3 linked regions of the Rattus norvegicus genome follow. The protein of the gene in region 1 purifies or fractionates together with the protein of each later gene. This does not show direct contact. Links are inferred from orthologs where the notes say so. Each region holds a gene or a part of one and is shown in the gene's direction. Other genes may lie near its edges. The genes, in order: Retreg1, Map1lc3a and Gabarapl1.

Region 1 (8,054 bases):
TTCCCAGGCTTTCTAGGAAATCCTAGAGTTTTGTGATGGAGCAATGAGAGGCGTGCAGACGTCACTCGTACTAACCCCCAGCGTACGCATAGGTCTTAGTTTCCGCTGAGTGTTTGGATTCTGCACATGACTTGCTCTGCTTTCCTGGAAAGGCTTGGTCTTGCGTGAACCCACACTGGTGTTGGTCAATCACAGTTCTTATTGCCTTCATTCTAGAAAGGAGGAAACAGGGAATGTTCCTTATTCTCAATAATAACATGTGTTTTTAAAAGGGTAGCAATGAACTTGTTGTTTGATGAGTCACATTGTTTAAATACAACGATATTGGAAATCAGGAATCTTGTTTTTAGGTCTTGACACTGTGCCTAAGTACATGAGACAACTTGGGTCGGTCAATGTTCTCCATCAATATGAGGGGATGTGAAAAACTGACATTATGTCAGCCTCATTCCAAATTGTATAATTCTACGTTACCCATAAAAAGCTGGAGATGTATGTTTGGCTGACTCACTTGGAGACTATAGAGATGAGTATTACTATAATAATCACTGTTTGAATTGTTTTTTAAATTGTATCTTTATAAGTATGGGTGTTTTGCCTATATGAATATCTGAGGACTGCATACATGCATACACATGGAGGTTAAAAGAAGTAGTTGATCCCTGGAACTGAAATTACAGATGGTTATGAGCTGCTGTGCTTGTGTGTGTGTGTGTGTGTGTGTGCTGGCAACCAAACCTGAGTCCCCTGAAAGAGCCACGAGTGCTCCTCACAGCCAAGCTATCTCTCCAGCTCCTCCTCATAGCGTTTTTAACAATTATATTGCAGTGATCAATTCTTTTGAGTTCACGGTCCATAAATGTGAAGTGATACCCTTTCTTCATCTCTGAATTCATATTTTATATTCAAGTCCTATCTCCATCAAATTGTATTTGGCACAATCTGAACATTTATTCTTGTCTCCAACATTTATTACATTTTCCAAAATCATTTGTCCGAATAGAATTTCGATCTGCACACAATGGGTTTCTGTTTGGCATTATAACAATTCAATTGTCAATGAGAATTATTTGTTTTGCTAATATCGACGTTGGAAATAGTGGGATGTGTTGTTTTAAAAGAAATTACATGAGATTTTTCTCAAGGTGGAGAAACTGAGTGGTTTCTCAATCAGTGAAAACCAGTTACAAATTGAGCATTTTCTTCCCAGCAAATGATACAATTTGTAGACATTTATAGGAAAACAATAGCTTAAGTATTCAAGCTTTAGGAATAATTAATTATTATTTATTATGAAAGGCATGAAGGGGGAAATTAATCATATTTTACTGAAAATGTGAATAAATTAACAGATAATGTCCACTTGAAGTCTATTAAAAAAATCCTTAACATGACCTTCAGTGGGAGGCTCATTCCAATGTTAGGGTATTACTTACTACTAAAATACATGTCTTCTCCCTCCCCTTTGCCTGTATGAGGGTGCTCCCCTACCCACCCACACTCTCCTGCCCCACTGCTCCAGCATTCCCCTAAGCTGGGGCATCAAGTCTTCCTGGGACCAAGGGCTTCCCCGCCCGTTGCTGTCAGGCAAGGCCACCCACTGCTATATATGTATCTGGAGGCAGGGATCCCTCCAGGTACACTCCTTGGTTGGTGGTCTAGACTCTGGGAGCACTGGGTGGTCAGGCCAGCCTATGTTGCTCTTTCATTGGGGTTGCAATCCCCCTCTGCTCCTCTAGACGTTCCGCCCGCTCTCCAACCAGGTTCCCTGAACTCTGTCTGATGGTTGTAGCCGGAGGGTCCCAGACACCAGGGAAACTTAGGGTTCCTAGGACCCAACAGGGATGACTTTAGCTGAAATGCACAGGGAAGGGGGAGATAGATCCTGTAGAGACCTCCTCCAGCAGATAGGCATGGCCCTGGTCAAGGGATGGGGACATCCACCCATCTCAAAGTTTTTTAACCCAGAAATGTTCCTGTCCAAAAAAAGAAAGAATGGAGACTGAAGGAAGGGCCAATCAGGGACTGCCCCTCCTGGGGATCCATCATGTCTGCAGACACCAAATCCAACACTGTTGCTATGCTTGCTGACAGGAATCTAGTGTGGTGGTTTCTGAGGAAGTCCAGCCAGCAGCTGACCAATGCAGATGCGGATCCTTGGAGCCAAGCAATGAGTTCTTGAGGAACCATGTCCCAGAGCCCCAGCCCTAGCCTCCTCCTGCCACCTCCCCACCCCCGTGTTGGAATCAGATAACTAATTGTGTAGCCAGTTGTTTCTCTCAGTATCTAAGCTTTTTGAGTTTGTTATCTGGCTGGTTAGCTCTCTGAGTAACTCAGAGCATAAGGCGGCCAACAGTAATCTTCAGTGAGTATTTGCTGAAGCTCTGACTGTTCGGTGGTTGGACACTGTGGTTGGTGTTATTGTAGCTGATGTTCAATTACATTTTTTCCCTCTGTTTAGCTGGGAAGTTATCAATTCCAAGCCAGATGAAAGACCCAGACTGAGCCACTGCATTGCAGAATCATGGATGAATTTCAGCATATTTCTTCAAGAAATGTCTCTTTTCAAACAGCAGAGCCCTGGCAAGGCAAGTTTTTAAATACTCAGTGTAACTTTGGGAACAAATGAGGTGACCAGTTTTAGCTGGTAAAGACTCTCTAATTTGAACATACTAGGCTCGGACGTGGTCACATTTGAAACTCTTTTTCTATTTATCTATTATAGAGATTTCTTTAGTTCAGTACTTAGAAGGGATTGAGATTGGGTATGCCATATTTAAAACCGAAAGGAAATGGGTGTTATTAGGAACTATGGTCTGGTTCTGAAATCAATGGCAGTTGAGATAAATGCAGTCCTTTTAGAGGTTCAGAGGCAACTGAGTCTCACTTATAATCTAAAAATGGAGTCGAGACTGGTTTGGTTCATTGTGAGGAAACTCACTGAGTGTGGTGCTCACAGTGATCCCAACACTTGTGTAGGTGGAAGGACCATGAATTCTAATGAGCTTGGCTACACAGCAAGACCCCCATCCCGGAATAGCAACACAGAGAGAGGATGAGGAAACCAAACAAGCTTTGGCAGACACATTCGCTGTGGCTAGGTGAATGGAATAAGAGTGGGTCTTTGTTTGTCTTGTTTTGTGATTAAGATAAAAACTCCCTCAGGAAGAGACTCGAGTAATGAGAGGGACTGCATGGAGAAATGCACACTAGAAGACTGTGGTCAGGGCTTTACTTGGTTGAGGGGCAGTGCTGTCAACAGACATTGATGGTTCTAGCACTGTTTTTGTCCACCAGCTGTAAAGTAGAGCTAGAAATACCAGCATCAGGATCCCCTCCGTGTGCCATGTGTAGGCAGCCTCATAACGTCAGCAGTATTACGTAACAGAACAGCACCTGGGAACATCTTGTCCATATTGAACTGGCAGTGCTATATCTTTAACCACAGTCAGTTTTTAACTGATACACATGTGAGGCACGGCAGACTTTAGTGCTTGTTTGACCAACATGACATGCTCATAAATAGTGTTGGAAGATTCTCAATGTGCAACGTCTGCTGTGTATTATGTTAATGTGCCTTAGACCTTTAAACTAATATCCATTAGTTAAAGGTTATGATGCTACAAAATATAGGTTACAAATCCCCTTGCACAGCTGACTTCTGGGTGTGGATGACTACATCTGTGTTGGCTTGTTTCTTCCTTCAACTTCTGAGACATTTCTTCATTTCTAGAATTCCAAATTCTTTCAAGGCTCTAGTTTTGTTCCACACATTCATCTGAACTCTTTCTATTAACCACATGGAATGAAATACCAGTTACCCTAAAGTTTAGAGGCCTTGTTCTTTCTCTTAATGAGGTTTAGGACAGAGAGTGTATCTCTCCCTATTTTTGAAAGCCCCTTAGTAAATTTGCTTGACAGTTTAATTCACTACTTCCATTTAAAAGTAATGCATAAACAATTAGACACCTTATGAGCAGAGTGTAGAAAACAAGTGGAGGAGGAAAACAGAATTCACTGCAGAAGTTTCATTTCACTTGGCTTAGTTTTGGGCTAACCCAGATGTGGGTGGATACAGTTAGGGAGGATTATGATGTTTACAGATTTATGCAGAGGTTTGTCAGCAGTACAAACTACATCAGATTCATGTAGGCGCTACTATAACATGCGTGGATCTGTCTATGGATTTCAGGGTTTTATGGTAGTAGTTTGAAGTTGCAGATTTGCTTCTCAGGGTGAGTAAAGTTGTTCTTGGGGATGTGTTACTATATGAGTCTCTTGCACTTGGCAGTAGTGCGTCAACAGGCCTGAGTAAGGAATTCGTCATTCCAGAATTAGCTCCTCTGCCTGCAAACTGATTATCCTCAAGTGTTCAATGCCTCCTCGGTGTTCCTAAGTATAAAAAGTGCTGTTGAAGAAACACATGGCATACGTAATACAACACACACATCACTCATGTGCCCTACTGTGTCTTGCTGTTGTGGATAACTGTCCCATGCTATTTCTGTTACTTCTAGTTTTGCCTCCTGGTCTGCAGTGTGTGCACATTTTTTACAATCTTGGGAAGTTACATTCCTGGGGTCATTCTCAGCTACCTACTGTGTAAGTATAGTAAAAACGCTTGACTACTTTGTGTAGCACGTACGGCTTCCTTAGTGCTTCTCAGATCTTCTGTTTAGTTTGGAAGGGTAAAGGTAAGCTCTCAACTATTAAACAAGTCTCCTAAGCATGACTGTTTTCCTGTCCCCTAGAGATAGCTATACGTAAAGATCTAGAAACACAGATGCAAGATGCAGGGTCATAAAAAGAATGTTAAATTATACACTGAATATTTAGGTCCCACTCTGTACAAATATACCTGCACTTTTGCCTTTGTGCATGTTTTATGGGACCAAAGGTAAAATCACAACGAGATACCAATGTATGCTGCCAGAAAGGCCTAAATTAAGAACATCACATCAAATACAGATAGAACACTGATACAGAGCAGCCCAAATTCTTGCTTATTGGGGGTAGGTTGGTAGAATGGTGCAATCAGAAAACCGGACGGCTGTGTCTACTGTATAGTTGGGCATCTCACAGTGAGATATTTATCCAAGAGAAACAGATGGGAACATCTCTGCAGATAGTTATACACAAGTGTTCATAGCAGGTTTGGTGTTAGTAGCACAAAGGGATACAATTCATATGGGCTTTACAGAGACATGATAAACTGTGCTCTTATCCATATAGTGGATTATTACCCAGCACTAATGATTGATACATGCAACACTATGGATAAATTTCAAAGTAATTAGGCTGAATGGAAAAAGCCAGAGCATGCACTATATAGTTCTATTTATGTACAACCCTAGAACAGTAGAAAAGTAGGTCAGTGGTTGCCAGGGATGAGTTGGGTGGGGTCAGGGAGAGGCAGAAAGGAAGGATTAATAAGGACATGAGGCAACTTGCTTGTAGTAAATTGTTTATCGTCTTGATCCAAGTATTCTTGGTTGATTACATGTCACAACTTATCAAATTGTAACTTGGTACGTAGCTTGTTATATGTGAATTATAACTCTAAAAAGATGTTCACATTATATATTCTGCTTTTCCTAAAATACATGAAGATTTAGCTGTTAGCTTTCAGCGGGGCAGTATCTCTGCTAACCCCACATTCCCTTTCCTACGCTGGCTTTTGAGTTTCACGTGTCCTCCACTGGGCTGTAAAGATGACTAAGGGAGGACACTGCCCAGCAACAACCAAAGAATCAACACTGAAAGCAGGTACAGCCAGTGTGGCTGTCTTCCCTTCTGGATCCCTAAGGCACAGCACATCTGGCAAATGGTTGAAGCTCTACCTGGTCTTCCAAATAGAACTTACAGTGGTTACTGGATCCCCATTTTGTAGGAAATAAGTGATTAAAGTGCTGGCAAAGGAGAGATAGCAGCAAGGCATTCTCCATCTTGTTTTTGCTGAGCTCAACTACATGCCTAGCTACAGCAACCCCACCAAACACCATCCCAGGGTCACTGACAAGCTAGTAAGAGGTGTGTGTTCTCACAGTAAATGGCAGTAGTAAACAAAAGTAAGATTTTAGCAGAGGACAGTGGTTATAAGTGTGTGTGTGTGTGTGTGTGTGTGTGTGTGTGTGTGTGTGTATGTTAAAGTATGTTTTTGCCACAGAATAAGAATGAAAATTAAGAGCTGCTACTTTCCCCATGATTGAACCATTATCTTGTAAAATACTAAAATGTAAGCATCCAGAATGAATGTCTTACCTGTATTATTTTCTTCTTTGTTTTCCAGTACTGTTTGCTTTTTTGTGTCCACTGTTTAAATGTAATGATATTGGACAAAAAATATACAGCAAAGTCAAGTCCATTCTATTAAAACTAGATTTTGGAATTGGAGAATATATTAACCAGAAGAAACGTGAGAGATCTGGTAAGTCTGGTTTGAATATTAGCTCTGTGTGTGCAAAATGGGACTTACTCAGTTGGTTCTGTAAAAGCTACCTGTGTAATCTGTGTGGTCTTTTCTAGTCAGGCCTATCTTCTTGTCTCAAATGTACAGCTAAGTAGGTTGACTTTTAAAGTCTACATTGTGCCTGTTTCTGAATGGGACATGGATATAATCACCCCACCCTGGCAAGGGACAATAGACATTTGGATTAGAAAGATTTGGAGTCAGAGATCTGCTGGCTATGGCACAGCAGTTGCAGTATTGAACTCACACCCATAGAGGTACAAGAAACACAAGACTGTGCCTGTCAACATCTCATCCTGGATGGGGTCAGGGCTCTTGAGCTCCCACTCCTCCCTGAAGTACACTGACAGTGAACAGGGGCTGCTGGGAGGGGTGCCACTTTCTCCAGTAGAGTGGCACTGACACATTGCCCAAGCTTCAGTAAAGTTGCCCCACCCATGTTCATCCAGCCAACCCCATTTAAACTCAGGGGCACACAATGAAGACAAGAGTAGGAGAGGTGATGGGAAGAAGGGCATCAGCAGGAGGATAGGGGACAAAGGGAGATGAAGGACAAAAGTTCATCGTACACATACATGAGATGGTCAAAGGATGGAAATGTAAATGAGTCACAAAATACACAGATTGTCAGGGGCTGGAGAAAGGGCATCAACACGTCTATATCTTGTTATGCATGATGCACTTTATTTTATTTGGGTTGGGTTATTGAAAATTTCAGAGGTAACGACTATTGTGGGAGCCATGTAAGAGGAGACTGAAGTAACAGGGGAAAGAAAAGGGGAGTTCTAGGACAATTAAGGAAACTAACATGTGTAAGGAATTATATATAAAATACATATATATAACTTTAGTTTCTCAGACTATAGGATGCATGAGAATGACCAGGAGTGTACAGCCTAGTACAGACTGTGACTCCAGAGGCCAAGGGTAGCGCCAGAGTCCACCTTGTCACAGAGTTCCCAGGGCTGCTGCTCCTGGTGGGTCATGCTGTGAGAACACAGATGTTGACCATTTCCCCTGGAAAGCAAACATTTGTAAATCTCTGTAGCTTCTTCAGTGCAAAAATTACAGGGAATCATTGGAATGCATAGCTGGATGTGAGGAGAATATATCAAGGTAAATGCACTATGTATAACCTTTGGAGGAGACTAAATGCCACCTCCACCCCTTTTGTTCCTCAACAGAAGCAGATAAAGAAAAAAGCCACAAGGATGACAGTGAAATAGACTTTTCGGCTCTTTGTCCTAAGGTATAGTTGGTCAATTTGTTTCTGTGTGGTTTGGCCATTTATTTACATAAAATAGATCGATTGTCCTAATTGACTAATTTATAACGAAGTTTGTCTTCTATTATTTTATGACATGACTGAATAATCTCGAAGGAAATGATCATTGATTTTTTTTTAATTTTAAAATTTAGGGGGGTATTACAGATTTTTAAAAAGATTTCTTCAGTATGAAATGTGCCACTGATATTTCTGTTGATACAGATTAGCCTCACAGTTGCTGCCAAAGAGTTATCCGTGTCAGACACAGATGTGTCAGAAGTCTCTTGGACTGATAATGGGACCTTCAACCTTTCAGAG
Region 2 (7,857 bases), on another chromosome or scaffold:
ACCACAACAGCCGGTTCAGTCTTTCATAAACTCAGAATGGAGCTCAAAATTATCTCCTCCTAGAGAATAACTCCATCGTTTAGAAGGGACTCTTTCAGTCCTTTAATACTGAGTGACCTTTGCCTTACAGTGTGTGAATTTTCTATCATTTCTTCCTTTGGTTTTCTCTGTACATACCTGGCATTTGTTTTGTTTTGTTTTGCGCTGAGGACTGAACCCAGGGCCCTGAGCTAAATCCCCAACCCCTTGTTTGGTCAGAGGTCAATTTGCAGAAACTGGCTCCGTTCACCACAAGGGTTTGGGGGACTGAACTCACATGACTGGATTTGGCAGGAAGCACCTTCACCCAGAGTCATCTCACTGGCTCCAACTTTAAGTTTTTATTATGAACTTTTTACTTACCACACAATGATATTTCACACATACATGGCACATTGCTCCTCTGCAGTCCTCTTGTAAACACTATGGCCTTCCTTCTTTTCTTGGCCAATCCTAAAATTGGGGATGACAGGCACATGCCACCATATCCAATCTAAGTGACGCTGGAATCAAACCTAGGTTGTCCTGCCCAGGGGCCATGCACTCTAACCACTGACCTGCACCGCCAGCCCTTGGTGTTGTTTCAGGTTAGCATAAGATTCCTCCAGCTCTGCGTCCATGCTCTTTACATCCTGTCTACGTTCCTGTATCATCTGCTTCTGGCTCCCAGGGTTCAGTATTTAAAACTATATTTTATATTTCTATTCTCTTAATACCACCTCCTGTTGTGTCTGACTTTTTATTTTCCATTTATCTACTTGCTGTATGTGTGCGGAAGTTGGCATTTGTCTTGCCATCACGGACAGAACATATTTTAATATTTAAAATATTAAAAATTCTTTCTGGGTTCAGTAGAGAGATGTCTGGAGACAGATTTAGGAACCCTGTCACTTGCCACAAGGGAAGTTGAACACCGCAGAGGTCTAGCAGGAACCCTCAGAACCTTTGCACTAACAGACTTTCTCCGAGGGGAAGGGGTCTAAGATTAGTGGAGGCACTAAATAGGATTTAAGGTCATAATTTAGGAAACCAATCCTACTGTCCCACCCTAATTTGGGGCTGTCACCTACTAGGAGTTTAGCTGCTTGGAGAATTACTAGATGGGGTACAAGGCCTGGATGAATGCCTTTGTAGGGGCAGCCTCTAGGATCTAACATACCCCAAGATTGAACTAATGTCCCCATGCTGGCAGGCAAGCTCCACACCAGACCAAGCAGACAATAATCAGGATCTTCCCAATCAGAACCAGCTCCCTAGGGCATTTAAAAGGCAAAACCAAAACCCAAAACCCAACACCCAAGGTCTCACTATCTAGACCTGGCTGGCCTTGGAACTCCAGAGATCATCCTGTCTCTGCCTAAGGAGTGCTGGGATTAAGGAGTGCGCCACCACCCAGCCTCTTTAAGGCAATTTTAGCTGAATTCTTTTTTTTTAAAAGATTTATTTATTTATTATATATGAGTACACTGTAGCTGTCTGCAGACACACCAGAGGAGGGCATCAGATCCCATTACAGATGGTTGTGAGCCACCATGTGGTTGCTGGGATTTGAACTCAGGACCTCTGGAAGAGCAGTCAGTGCTCTTAACCGCTGAGCCACCTCTCCAGCCCTTAGCTGAATTCTTGTGACCTGAGCAACTCGTCTTTGTACCCCACAATCACTACTATTTATGTCCACATTAAGTAGTGGTTGGGATCGCTTCTCGGCCTTTTGGCTAAGATCAAGTGTAGTATCTGTTCTTATCAGTAGTGGTTGGGAAACATTTACACATGCATCTGTTAATTTGGTTACCAGTTTCCATCAAATTTCTTCCCTGTGAGTTGTATGTTGTTTCTGAAGTACAAACTAACTTTTTTCAAGCAATGGCCCTTTGTAAATTCATTTGTTTTATCTTTTTCCTTCCTTCCTTCAATTCTAGCCCATCCTCCTGCCTCAAACTCGTAGTATAGAGCTAGGATTACAAGTAAAAGCCAGCTACATCTGGCATTAATCCTGGCCTTGAATCAATCTACCCTGACCCTGAGTAACATTCCCAGACCATAGTTTTCTATTCTACCCAGGGGCTCTACCTGTAAATTCGGACTTAGTGTGTTGTCAATTCCGAATGTTCTCCATCTCATACTAAAACGCTTCTGATATAGCCTCCCATTCAGTGACTCTCTCCTGCTTTGTCTAAACCGCTTATTAACCTCACTCTGGAAGTCTATGCTTTCCATAGCTGTTTCAGAATTCTTTGAAAGCCTGGGTGGGGGTACGGAGAGATGGCTCGGCAATTATTGCTCGCCAAGTTTTGCTATATTACAGAGGACCTTAGCTTGATTCCCAGCACCGCTAGTAATTCCAGCCTAAGGCAATCCGATGCTGTGTTCTGCCTCCGCGGGCATACACTTAGAAACACATAAAACTTTAAAAAGTTTATGGATCCTGGGTGTTCCATTCCCTCCCCGCCCCACCTCGTTACCACCTTCGTTCTCTAATGCTAAGCTTGGTGAAGGCGCTGTGAATTACTCGGCAGCGTAGAGACTAGAAGAAGGCGACAACCGCCTGGCTTCACAGTCCTGAGGAGCCAAAGACAAGCTTGCCGATCGTGACGTCACAAAACTGTGACGCGCCCTGTAGCTCCGCCCCCTTACGACCTGCGCCGGGAATCCGGGCTGTCTGCGCCGTGGCGTCACAGGTTCAGGCAGGCGGGTTTTCCGTCGGCCCAATGGGAGCGGCGCGCCGGCCTCCCCTTTAAGGAATGTTGTGACCTGACGTCACCCAGGCGAGTTACCTCCCGCAGCCGCCACCGCCGGGCTCAGCGCGAGCCCCGCAGCCCTTGAGCTCGAGCCCCGGAGCCCCCGGCGCGCCGAACCGCAGCCGCATCCCTGAGCCGCGCGCCCCGGAGCCCCCGGCTGCGCGCCCCGCCGGGCCCGCGCGATGCCCTCCGACCGGCCTTTCAAGCAGCGGCGCAGCTTCGGTGAGGCCCTGGGGGTGAACTGCCATCCGGGACCGAGGGATGGGGATGCCAGTCGACCCCGATTGCCGCAGGTGACGTCAGCCCCATGACGTCAGGGACCGGGTGGCCGGACCCCGGGTGGAGAGGCCGCAAGGCCTGGCAGGGTCGCCGGCCTCCCTACCGCGTCCCCGGGTGGAGGGCTGCGGGGCCGACGGCCCCGGGGGCGGGCGCTGGGGCGGGGCGGGCCGGGAGCCGCCCCTCGGGGATCGGCGAGGCGGAGTCGCGGGAGGCCTCAGCACCGCTGGGCCTCACACAGAGCTCTGTCCGCAGCCGACCGCTGTAAGGAGGTGCAGCAGATCCGTGACCAGCACCCCAGCAAGATCCCGGTGAGTCTCTAGCCCCCCGGCCACGCCCTGTCCCACCAGGTCCCGCCCCTGGCTTACGAGTCCCCCGCCCACTCCACTCCTAGGTGATCATCGAGCGCTACAAGGGTGAGAAGCAGCTGCCTGTCCTGGATAAGACCAAGTTTCTGGTCCCAGACCATGTTAACATGAGCGAGTTGGTCAAGATCATCCGGTGCGTGGGCAGCCTCCTACAGGCCTTGGGTGGGGCGGGGCCGGGCCAGGTTCTACTAGAAGGGATGGAGTGGGGCAAGGGGGCATCATTTGGGACACCAGGCAGGACCCTGTTCTAGGAGGCTGGAGAAGGTCAAGGACGGGTTGGGGTGAGCTTCAGTAAAGAGGTGAGAGCCTCTGGCTCTGGCTGTGATGGATGGAAAGTGAAGATTCAAAATAATTCTGGGAGGGTCGCCCAGGCCTCCAGCAGGCGGCCTCTCACCTACCATGCCCTCCTGCCTCCACAGGCGCCGCCTGCAACTCAACCCCACGCAGGCCTTCTTCCTGCTGGTGAACCAGCACAGCATGGTGAGTGTATCCACACCCATCGCTGACATCTATGAACAGGAGAAGGATGAAGACGGATTCCTCTACATGGTCTATGCCTCCCAAGAAACCTTCGGCTTCTGAGTCAAGAGGAGGGGTGGGGGGTGGCTGGGAGTTCTGGTCAGGTTCTCCCCAGGGAGGTCCTGCCTCCTAAACTAAGCTATTTCGGCCCCGGGTGGATTAGGCAGAGATGTGACACCCCCTCCCCCCAGGTAGGGGCCACCAGCCAGCATACCAAGTCCTGGGTAGGTCCTGGGCCAGTCTTGTTAGGCTTGCTCTTTTGGGTGCTGGCTGGGTTGGGAGTGGGTGGGGAGCAGCATCCCTGCCCCGTGGGGTTTGTCTTTTTTTTAGGCCCTTGCCTGTCTACCCATCTTGCCCCTCATCCACCTGAGGCTTTGCCCCCTGACAGGACCTGCCCCACCCCTGAAAGGCTGGCTCCCCTTGTCCTGACATGGTATGTGGATCTGTGGTCATTTCCTCTGCAGAATAAAGATTGCTCAGGCCTGCCTGGCCCTTTGCCTCCGGCTGCTTGTTTGGGAGTAGGGAGGGCTGCTAGGTGACTGTCCACATAGTCAGGGACACACAGACTTGTGTTCTGTGGACTCTTAGTATAGACCATGTAGTACTGGGGGCCAAGCTCACTCCCCTCCAGGAATATGATCAGGACAACAATGAAAAAGAAGACCCACACATTTATTAAGTAGTCACAACCTATAAAGCCCTGCTCACTGGCTGCTCCCCTTCCTTTCTATGCACAGTCACAAAGTGGGGGTCCAAGTGGGGTGCTCCTAGCTTCTCCCCATGGGCCTTGTTGCCAGCTACGAGTCCCCTTTGGTGCCAGAGGTTTGGAGCCCTGGACTTGAACGTCTTCTGCCTGAGGACTCGCCTGCTGGCAACTCCGGATGAGGGACCTGGCCCAGCTCTGGCCCTTCCCCCTCTTGTCCATGCAGCTCTGTGCCAGCAGGGCTACTTGAGCACAAGCATGGCCTCAGTGCCGTCCTTGGCAGTCAAGTAGAGACCATGCGTGAGGTAATACTCCCGTCGCAGGAAGGCGTAGAAGTAGTCAGAGATGAGCAGGATCTGGCAAGGAAAGAGAGAGTGAAAAGCCACGGGCACCTTACTGAATACTACCCTTTGCCGGGTTAGATAGACAGGCAGGTTAGTGCCTGCCTGGCATCTCCCCAATCTAGAAGCCTGCCCTCCGTCCCTCTTGGCGCGTACTTGACCATTCCCAGCCCTGAAATACCTTACCAGTCATGGGCAGCTGTATGTATTCTACCTTCCGCCCCCTTCTCCTGGTTCACACCACCGTCCCATGTTCTCACAGTGGGGCTTTGCTGACAGGTACTCCCCACCCAGCCTAGTCAAACCCTTCCAGGAACTTAGGACACAGAACTGCCTACTATTTCCCTATACCATGCAGCCCAGGAATTCTACCTTGAAAACACGATTTGACAGTCGGTGGTGGTAGTACATACCTTTAATCCCAGCACTTGGAAGGCAGGAGCAGGCAGATCTCAGTCTCAGATCTGACTGCCTTTGTCTCCTGAGCGCTGGGATTGGAGGCATGCACCACCACTATCAAGCTGTTTCCAGATGTGACTGGTATGATTTCCTTCCCTTTGACCTAGCCAGCTCACCGAGGTGATGAGTTTGTATGCTTCTTCACCTGCCCTGACACAGGGTCTGGGTGAGAACCTCAGGGCTGAAGGTCAATGTCTACTGCCTCAACCATGCTGACCAGCAGCTGCCTGGTTGCTTGCTGATATGATCTGTCCTTTTGTGGATGGACTTTTGCCTCATCACACATTTAAGGGTCCAAGTCTCCAGGTATGGCTTTGCCTCCAGCCTCAATTTCCCCGTTTGTAAAGTAGACCATTAGCCCTCCAATGAGAATGGCAGGAGTGTGTCCAGAGGTCTTCTTAGCTGCTCTTCTATCAGAAAAGTATATAGCTGCCCACAACAGGGCTCGGAAGACCTAGCTCCTTGGTTTAGGTCAACCTCTGTCTGATCTGTCTCCCTCTCGCTAAGTACCTGCCATGTTCTGGCCTTCGTTTACCTGTGTGAACTAAGAGGTGGTTAGTGCTAATACTCTTGGGGCCTCTAAACTTTTGAGAACTATGGTATCTCCAGTACTGTGCCTGCCCTCCTTTGCTGAGGCAGGACACTTCCCTGCCAGCTCCAGTTACACAAGTCTTAGGCATGTTGGGGTAGACTTTGGGGTCATGTGTGCAAATGAGACAAATCCTATCCCTCTCTGGGCCTCTACTTAGGGGGACAGCGAACTAAGATTGTTGGCTCCTTTTGATTTTCTAGTCAGACTGAGTTGGGGCAGGGAAATGCCACAGAAGCACTCAGGATCCATCCTGAGCAGAAACGACCTTCCCACAAAGCGCCATGCAGTTGAATGTGAAGCTGCAATTACAATGAATTTGTGTCAGCAGAGAGGTCAAGGGGTCAGGACCTAATCTGGGGAAGGTGAGCCTACTACAGTTGGAGAGACAGGTATTGGCTGGATGAAAATGTTTCATCCTGTGGTGAGAGAGGCAGTCCAGGGAAATGACGAAATGGATGGCAGAACCAGGTGCAGGGTCATGGAGCTCATAAGGGTGAAGCACGAGAAGCTTTTGGGAGAACTCAGGCCAAGTAGTAACATGATCAGATTTGTGGTTTGAAAAGCTCCCTCTGGCTGCCTGGCACAGGAGAGGGTTTGAAAGCAGGGGACCCTGGGAAATGTCTGAAGTGGTAGTTACAGGGATGGGTAACACTTGGAATAGCACAAGTATTCTGGACTGCTAAGCCATTTCTCTAGAACCCCGGGGATTCTTGAAAAACAAAAAGCACAAGTGTCAATCTTAGGACAAATACCAGACTAAACTTACTGAGTGAGGGGACCTGCCTAGTGCTCCACACGCCTGCCAAAGTTATGGGGAATAAAGACGACACAGCAGAGGACGCTAGGAGACAACCAAGTATAACGTGGTCCCCTAGGTTAGTCCTGGAAGGGACCATGACTGGAAAAGTCATGTCCCAGTGAAGCCTCCCATTCAGTTCACGGTAATTTCCCAGGTGGGTTCTGTGCAACTTAAGATGTTGACCAGGAAAGAAAACAAGAGTGGACTGCACGGCACGCCTCTACCCTCTGCAGCCTTCTGTGACACGAAGACAAGGTGCAAGGGCTATCCAGAGAACAAAACTGACCAACAACACAACTGTGATCTCACTGTTCATGGGTTGTTTGTCTGTGTTTGGGTTTTGTTTGTTTTGAGACAGAATCTCTTGAAACCCATGATGGCCTTTAACTTTGTATTAGAGAATCTCCTCAAACTTCTGAACCCCCTTCTACTTCCCAAATACTGGGGTTGCGAGTATGTACCACAAATCTGTTTTTATGTGGCACTGGAGACCGAATCCACGGCTTTCTGCATGCCAAGGAGGCACTCTCACAGTGTTTAAGAGAATATTCTCAGTCTGGTTGGTTGTTCCGTGAGACTGTCTCAATATCTAGTCCAAGGTCCCTGTGTAGCCAGGGAGAAGGTGGAGACTGGTGGATCACTCAATTCATGGTCATTCTTGGTTACAAAGTGCACTGAGACCAATCTGGTCCACATGAAATAATGTATGTGAGAACACAAGGAACTCAAAAGCATTCTGGTAGGTAAGACATGGTGAAGAATGCCTTTAATTCCAGCATTAAGGAAGCAGAGGAGAAAGGATCCTTGTAAGCTCGAGGCCAGTCTAGTCTACAAAAAAAAAAAAAAAAAGTAAAATGTGGCTGTGGCTTCGGCAATACATGCATAAGACCTGCATTTGCAACTCTAGTTCTGTGTAAATGAAGTGTAAGTAAATATTTAGCTCTACTTACTCAATGATGTAAAATCTGACATTTAGCAGGAAAAGTAATGTCTACATTTCAATTAGAAATAGTTTAAAAAAAA
Region 3 (8,154 bases), on another chromosome or scaffold:
AATTCTTCTAGTTAATGCCTTTTCTTTCTCCCAGCTTGAGACTCTTGGGGAAATTTCTATTAGGGGGGATAATTGTTTCAATAGTCTGAAAGACGGAGAGACTAATGTCTCTCTCTTTTTTTCTATTTTTTTTTTTTCCGGAGCTGGGGACCGAACCCAGGGCCTTGCGCTTGCTAGGCAAGCACTCTACCACTGAGCCAAATCCCCAACTCCGAGACTAATGTCTCTTTAGAATAGCTTGGTTCTGCCAGGCTGTTTCCAGTGTGTTCTCGTTGCTGAGGTGGCCTGTGGTTGCTCTGGGGCAATTAAGACAGAGGAGTGATGCCTCCTGTGGTGTCCAAACCTTTGGAGAGTAATAGTTCCATTCGTCTGAGGATCAGTCTGGTCTGACTGAGGCTTTTACTATGGCTAGAGATACTGTTGGCCTGTGAGGGACAGCTTTTCCAGTAGGGGTGCTACTTAAAATCAGGAACTCAAGTACCATTAGGATTCTCTTAAAAACTCTCTCTATCCAGATCTACATCATCATTCTGAGTGGTGTCTGTCTCCCTTATCTGGTGTCTACCGGAGACTAAACACTGCTATTTGTTCTGGTCCTTCCAAATCTATTTGCTGATTAACTCCCTACTTCCTGCTGCCATTCACCAAGATAGTGGTATTGAGAGGTCAGGCCTTTGGGAAATGATCAAGTCCTGAGGGCAATGCCTTAATAATGGGGATCAGTGCCCTTACAAGAAAGAGGCTGCACAGAGAGCTTGCATCCTGTCCTTGGGCACCACCTCCTAACTTCCAGGATGTTCTACAGCACCCGAAGACAGCAGTATCAGCTGTGAAGGAAGGGCTCAGGAATCTGTGAGAATACTGCATCCCAACTGTGATAGTGACCTTTGTGCAAAATCTGAGACACATCTATGGAGGAGCAGAGAAGAACACCATGGTCACCGTTTAATAATCCAACTTCTTTTCTAAGGAACTGGACTTTCTTCTAAAGACTACAACAGGCACAAGTGAAGGGATTTGACATTGTGACCCTGTGAAAACTCCTGCTAATATGTTTATTTTGGCACTCGTATCCCTCTTTGCCCCACCCACAAGTGATGAAAACAAGACTGAACACCATTAGGAGTGGGTGTGGATAAAAATGGTGGCTTTAAGGCACATGTGTGAGCCTTTTATGTCTCCCCTCCACTGAGTTACTGTCTTGAATATGAGGAGAACTGTGTGCAAAACAGTGAGGCTGAAGCTGTCACCTCCTGGTGCAGAACGTGTGAGCTGCAGAGAGCTCAACTCACTGCGTCCAGGGAGGACACTTTAGGGTCAAGAAAGGTTCCTGGCACAGGAATCAACCAGTCTTAGTCAGATGATCTTTGGTATTTGTTTTGTAGGTAACGTTCACTTAAAAGTTAACCAAGCAATACAAAACAGGACAAAACCCCTTTCTTTTTTTAAAAGTTCAAGCTGAAGAAGTAAGTTTTCTGATGTTTGGTAGTAATTTATGTCTAGTTACAGCTAGACCAATACTCTAATTCTGGCTTTTATTCATTGACATACACATAATAATAGAAAATAGAAATAGAAAAAATAAAACTTAACTTTGTATTCAGTTTCAATTTTTTTTTAAAACATCTACGGGTTCTTCACAGTCTTTTTTTAGATTTATTTATTTATTTATTATATTTATTTATTATATTTAAGTACACTGTAGCTGTCTTTAGACAGACCAGAAGAGTGCATCGGATCTCATTACAGATGGTTGTGAGCCACCATGCGGTTGCTGGGATTTGAACTCAGGACCTGTGGGAGAACACTCAGTGCTCTTAACCACTTAGCCATCTCTCCAGCCCTCAGTTTCAATTTCTAATGACTGGGGAAATGAGGAGATGCGTTTGAGAGGTATGTAACTCTGGGTATAAACTCTTGGAAGAACTACCTAATCGGGGAGGTGCTGATGATTTTAAGATACAGTGGGTGACTTGACTTCAGAGGTGAAGTGCAGTTTGCTTCCCAATAGGAAGAAAACATCTGAAGCGGTGGGCAGACTGCCTCTGCTTGCACTGTTTTGAGATGCTCTCCATGACTGAATATGCTTAAAAACCCCAAAAGTTCCAAACCTGAAAACCAGAAGAGTACAAGAAACATTTGGAGTGGCTATATGAGAAAACGTGCTCTTTTCATACTGCCTTTTGTCTGGTTGAAGAAAGCAACTTTAAGATATTTTTATCTGATTGAATGTCAGTTTATAAATGTACCTCTGTACAACATTTTAGAGAGCCTTCTGAGAATCAATAGTAGAGTTGTGAAAATAGATACGTTTTGAATTTTTATACGATTTGTTTCTATTTTTTTGGTGTGTGTGTGTGTGGCTGTTCTGCCTCATGTTATTTCTGTGTACCATGCGCATGCAGTATGCAGTAGAGGTCCGAAGAGGGTATTAGATCCCTGGGAACTGGAGTTTCTGAGCTGTCATGTGGGTGATGGAAATCAAACCCTGGTCCTCAGGAGGGGCAGCCAGTGGTCTTAACCACTGAACCATCTCTCTAGCTCCCAACATATTTTGCATTCTAATGTAAACTACTAATGCTTTAAAATTCCTCCGAGCTGATTACCCAACATTTTATCTTTTGTTTTTCACGTACTGTATACGTTATCAGTGGACTGAAGAACTGCCTTTCAATTAGCTGAGACTGTACACCTACAAAAAATTGAAGGTTACTCAGAAAAACAACACTATTACCATTTTAATCCCCAGATCTGTCTCAACTGGTTGTAAAATTCTCTTCTGAAAGACTTAATTGTATATGAGTCAAAGGTAAAAAATGAGTAGCTGGGCATGAAACTATTTTCATTTTGAGAATAAAACCTGAAAATAATTAAGATAATCATGACAATATTATATATCAACTCATATGTCTTTATATGTAGGAAAGATTGCTAGGAGGAAACCAAGAAGTGGCCTATGGATTTCAGTTTCTTGTTTTGCCAGTTAAATTCAGCTCATTTTATTTTGCAGGGTTTTTAAGGATAAGTCACTAAGATTATATATATCTATACCTATAGATATATATATACATATTTATATATAAATCTTGATATATACATATATATTCATATATAAATTTTGAATATATAAATATATATATTCAGGCAACAGGGTTGCTTGCCCGGTGCCATTCAGTAGTCATTCTATTTCCACAGCACAAGCTATTCTTGACCTCTGTCTCTGATGCTCCCAAGATAAAGGTCTGGAGTTACTGCCAGTAGGATCAGAAGGCTGACCCGGCATCCAAAAAGTCTGAGATGGAAACCTGGTATGCCAGAGGGGCCTGGTCTGACTCTCTGTACCACTGAGGGTCTTCTAACGGCACGCCAGTCAGAGTTTTTGGTGCCCATAAGGCCTTTACATCAGGACAACTACCCTGCAGATGATACCCACCCTCAAGGAAAGTATTGTTGGGGAAACAGACACCTAAATTGTTTGACGTCTGTATTTTCAAGAATCCAGCAACCACACTTTTGGACGAACCTTATAAAATGAATGGAATCATCTCTCCTTGAACGTGATTAGAAGTCCAATGTTCATCGCTGGCATTGCTTCTCCTAACCTTGATGACTTCACGTTCTTCACCCTTACACTTCTTCAAATCCATGAGTCACGCTGTGTTTATGTTGTCTCAGAACCAATCCCAGCACAGATCCAAACGCAAGGACGCCAGTCAGGAGGAGCTGAGGCAGAGAAGGCAGGCCAGCCGTGGGTGCTAGACAAAGGTCAAAATGCAAGCACAGGACATTTCAGCCTGGGTTACAAATCTCGTGACAACTGGCGCTTTTCCAACACCCGACTCCTGATTCCATCGCTCTGGAAACAGCTGGATTTTCTTCCTCTGTGTTTGTTTTGGGCATCAAGCAAGAGACTTGAAGGGGAGGGAAGAAGACATTTGTTAGAACCTTCTTTGGATTAACACATTACCTTTAATGTCTATTCTCAAAAATAAAAACCAGGCTAAACGATTTCTACGTTTCGGCGGAGTAGTTTAGGAAAAGCTTAGGCGAAAAGAACACACATACATATAAACAATGCCTCTGTCCACCCCGATCCGCAGGTCCTTCGCGCCGGGGGGCGGGGCGGGGGTGGGGCGTCGTGATGTCACAGCACCGCCCTGGTGTTTTTGTGTTCCCTGCTCTTGGGAAAAGCCACCCCATTTCTTTACCTGGTGGTCCTTTACCTTCAGGCCCGGAGATCTCCAGGTCCCTCTCTGGACGTTTGGTCACGTAGTGCGGCGACCAGAGCGTGGGAGCTGACGCGGGTGGAGCGATTGTGATAAGGCTGACATTGACTGGGGGTGGCCAGACGGGAGACGCGGTCAACAGCGCGCGCAGCAGGCCCCGTCCGGGGAGCCCCTACATCCTGCGATCCATCATGAAGTTCCAGTATAAAGAGGACCACCCCTTCGAATATCGGAAAAAGGAAGGTGAAAAAATAAGGAAGAAATACCCGGACAGGGTGCCGGTGAGTGGGGGCTGGGAGGGAGAGGGCAAGCTTGGGGAGTTTGGGAGCTGGTTTCCCTGGAGCTGCCCGGTAGCCTGGCGATGGCGGGTGGCCCTGGGGCCGGAGGGTCATCTGAATCACGTATTCTTGACCAGTTTTGACAAGCTTGTATCCCCAGGGCCTGTGCCCACTTTTGGCATCCTGAAAGCGCAGCGTGCGCGTGGTGGGTGAGTCAGCAGGATTCAGCACCCGTGGAGGTTGGGATGTGCGCGTGGCGGGGCCTGTGTGTGCGGGGGCGACTGGTTGGGGTCCCAGTTAGGATATGTTTATAGAAAATGCAGCCCAACCCTAGAGCAGCAGGTGAGCCTTGTGCCCATCCATGTCTGTCCAATGGTTCTTCATGAATCCGAGTTTCGTCCTCATTTCCTTAAGCGTAGGAGGAAAAAGACGTGAGAAGCCCCTAGATTCTGCCCTGCGTTTTCTTAGAATGGGGGGTGGCACCACCAGGCGGGGCCCCCCTCAAACAAGGTCATGCTCTGCGTCACAGCCAACCTGCCTCCTCCTTATTGTCTCCTGGGCCATGTGCGGATAAAGAAAGGTCCGTGCTCTGTACTGTGATGGGTGGGCCCGTGGATCTCAAGAGCCAGGACTGAGAAACGTTTCCTCTATGAATTATACCCCGATTTAAGCGGCTAAAACCTAGTTCATGCACTGCGAAGGAAAATACTAAGGGAGTCTTCAGCATCCGGGTGTTTTTCACTTTACCCCCTCCCCCGCCCACTTGGTATTTTTTTTTTTTCCTCCTCTTTGGAAGGCTGCGCAGCAGAATTGGGAGCAAAGGATGACATGGCTGTTAAATATGGTGGATAGATGAGCAGGGACTTTTAAAAATCATTCTCTTTATCTGTACAGGCAATGATGTTTATTAGATTAGCGTTCCTCTAACTTTGAAAGGTAAAAGAGCTGTGTTAAACTGCTAAATTTTTTTTTGATACATAAGTAATAGGGGGAGGGGCTTCTTCCTTGTTCTTTATCTCAGCCTGGACTACTAGAAGAAATGGAGGCTCAACAAGAGAAAGTCCTCAGCCCCATTTTCTACCTTCAGCCCCATTTTCTATAAGGAAGAAGAGAGTTAACTATTTCACCATTCTCCAGAAATTACATATACACGGGTCTGCCAGAAATGGCTGGGAATACTCCAGTTATGCCTTTTTACTACATAGTCCTTTGCATGGACTTCCCCGTGGAGGATTGATTTCAAAATTTCTCTCAATCTGTCAACCCCACTTAGTATTTTAAATTTACACGTGGACCGCATAGCTGGCAGCACTTGAATGCCTTGTCTGCATACTCACCGACTCTAGTCACAGCCTTAAAATCCTTGTGCTACAGACGTGTTCTGAAGCATAGGGCAGTGAAGTCACCACCCAAAGGTTTGACATTGCTGGCTGGAAGAGGAGAATTCCAGCCCTGACCGTCATGCTTCAGGGCTGTCAGAGTCCTTGGCCTTCAGGGTTTTGATGTTTGTTTGTTTTGTCCAGTTTGTACTAGAGCGAGGTGAACCACAATTTAGTGTACATCTTAGAAGATCAAACCCTAGAAGTAGGTTATCACTTGCTGCCATCTGGAGTTCAAATGGTAGTCAGTGCCAGCCAGGAAACTTAAGTGAATGTGTCTACCCATTATTCAGAACATCAGAAATACGAGCTGTGACCGGTAACTGTTTTCAAATTCAGAGAAAACCTCCATACTTCTTCAAGGCAGAGGCCCCTCTCGGTCAATTGGTTAAAGCACTCACCCAGAATATTGCAGTCTCTTTGTATTCTCTTGCTCATGACTTGATGTTGAATGTTTTACTTCATTGATAATTTGTAAACCTTCACTCAGATCTCATGGAACCTCTGGATTTCACCCCCAGATGGTGCCTCCCAGTATGAGAGGTTCTCAACCTCTCATTGGGTTGAGACAGAACTCTGCTAAATGGCAGAGATTTGAGTGGGGGTCGGGGCAACACTGGAGTTGGAAGCCTTTGTCTGGTTTCTTCTCCACCTCTGGGTTGTAACAGGACTTTGCATGCCTTGGGCACTGTGCTGAATCTTACTATGTTCAGGTTTTTACAGAAAAGCCACTAAGTTTCTAAGGCAGTCTGACTCACAAGTTAAGCCTGGCCTCAGAAGGATTGTGCGTGGGCCTCAGGAGAAGGGATCATGGGATATTGAAATAATAGTGTTGGAAACCTGTAACAGCAGGAACTACTGGACACACTATTTTTAAACATGTGTAAACAGTCTTACGGTGTATGAGCCACGGCTACAGAAAACAATTCCCCTCTCCTTTTGGTAGGAGGTACCAGGTCTCAGAGTTCCTGTGGTGAATACCAGGGCTACCTGCTTCCTGTGCTCTGTTGTTTGTAAACTGCATTCTTCCCTTCTTCCCTTTTGGTTTATTTGTTTTTCAAGTCCCTTTCTATTTAATTTGAAGCTTTAGATTCATGCCTGTCTGCCCAAGCATTTTCTTGTACTTATTTGTGTGGCTTTTGGTGATGTGTGTGTGTGTGTGTGTGTGTGTGTGTGTGTGTGTGTGTGTGTGTGTGTGTGGCTTGATGAAGCTCAGAGAGGTCAGAAAGATGCTGACGGTCACACAGCTTCTAGGGATACTTGTCCAGTGTCTGTTTCTGCTTCTTTGCTTCTTAGTATTTCCCATTTCTTATATCTAAAATGAGTTTTTCAAAACAAAGAATCTAATTTTAATATCCTTGTAAGATGTTTTCTGAGCAAATATATAAACACCATCTATGATTTTTGTGTGTCTTTTTCTTTGTTACGAAATGCGTGATCTTTAAAAATTATGAAAATAATTAATGCGGACATTGAAAATCCCTTAAAATGCTCACACAGTTAATAATGGGGAATAATTTAGTGCATTATTCTCAGAAAGTGTCACTCATTATAAAAATTCATAGTAGTTTTCACTTAGCAATGGACACTTTTTTGCAAAGATTGAAATCTGAGGCATGTTAAGTGTGTGTGTGTGTGTGTGTGTGTGTGTGTGTGTGTGTGTGTTAGTCATCACTGTCGCAGTGTCTGATGCAGTCAACTTCTATAGGGCAAGAAGGCTATTGGCTTCAGAAGCCTTTGTCCATGCTCTTAGTTGGCCCCATTCTTTGGGCTGGTGGTGACTCCAGACTATCATGGTAGAAGCACACGTGAAGACAAGATGGGAATCAGTCTTCAGGTTTAGCTCAGTGACCTAAAATTCCCATGAAGCCCCACCCCTTAAAGTTTCCACCACTTGTTCATAGCACCAAGGCAGGAGCATTTTTTAAACATAGTAGCCTTTGGAAGGCAGTGACGTTCTAAACTATAATGTTGTGTCTATAACAAAAGGCATCGCCTCCTCTGTGTGTGTTCACATGTGTGAGTGAGCATGTGTATGATTGTGTGCATGTGTGTGGAGGCCACATGTTGATACCTTGTACTATTATTCTTGCTTACTCTTCACCTTACTCAGTATGAACCCAGAGCTGACCACTTCAATTAGTCCAGACAGACAGCTTGCCCAGGGATCCCCAGTTTCTGCCTTCCCAGAAGGCATATCCACTGGGCACTCACTCGGATTTTAGGGATCAGAACTCAGTCTTCACACTTTGATAGAGAAAGCGTTTATGA

The links.
Region 2: the proteins of Retreg1 (region 1) and Map1lc3a purify together in Homo sapiens (affinity purification with western blotting; 3 studies listed by BioGRID and IntAct, with this or other methods). This does not show direct contact. The link is inferred for Rattus norvegicus from reciprocal best matches to the Homo sapiens genes RETREG1 and MAP1LC3A.
Region 3: the proteins of Retreg1 (region 1) and Gabarapl1 purify together in Homo sapiens (affinity purification with western blotting; 3 studies listed by BioGRID and IntAct, with this or other methods). This does not show direct contact. The link is inferred for Rattus norvegicus from reciprocal best matches to the Homo sapiens genes RETREG1 and GABARAPL1.

What each region holds. Positions count from the first base shown.
Region 1 is NC_086020.1:78,193,196-78,201,249, forward strand, and holds part of Retreg1 (reticulophagy regulator 1), read left to right. Parts: intron 1-2,461; coding exon 2,462-2,588; intron 2,589-4,517; coding exon 4,518-4,602; intron 4,603-6,289; coding exon 6,290-6,427; intron 6,428-7,653; coding exon 7,654-7,718; intron 7,719-7,958; coding exon 7,959-8,054. UniProt on the Homo sapiens protein: Endoplasmic reticulum (ER)-anchored autophagy regulator which mediates ER delivery into lysosomes through sequestration into autophagosomes.
Region 2 is NC_086021.1:164,240,420-164,248,276, forward strand, and holds Map1lc3a (microtubule-associated proteins 1A/1B light chain 3A), read left to right. Parts: upstream 1-2,784; 5' UTR 2,785-2,959; coding exon 2,960-2,999; intron 3,000-3,308; coding exon 3,309-3,364; intron 3,365-3,447; coding exon 3,448-3,554; intron 3,555-3,840; coding exon 3,841-4,003; 3' UTR 4,004-4,431; downstream 4,432-7,857. Other genes in the region: Pigu (phosphatidylinositol glycan anchor biosynthesis class U protein precursor), read right to left, coding at 4,886-4,999. UniProt on the Homo sapiens protein: Ubiquitin-like modifier involved in formation of autophagosomal vacuoles (autophagosomes). While LC3s are involved in elongation of the phagophore membrane, the GABARAP/GATE-16 subfamily is essential for a later stage in autophagosome maturation.
Region 3 is NC_086022.1:164,662,091-164,670,244, forward strand, and holds the start of Gabarapl1 (gamma-aminobutyric acid receptor-associated protein-like 1), read left to right. Parts: upstream 1-4,241; 5' UTR 4,242-4,417; coding exon 4,418-4,507; intron 4,508-8,154. UniProt on the Homo sapiens protein: Ubiquitin-like modifier that increases cell-surface expression of kappa-type opioid receptor through facilitating anterograde intracellular trafficking of the receptor. Involved in formation of autophagosomal vacuoles.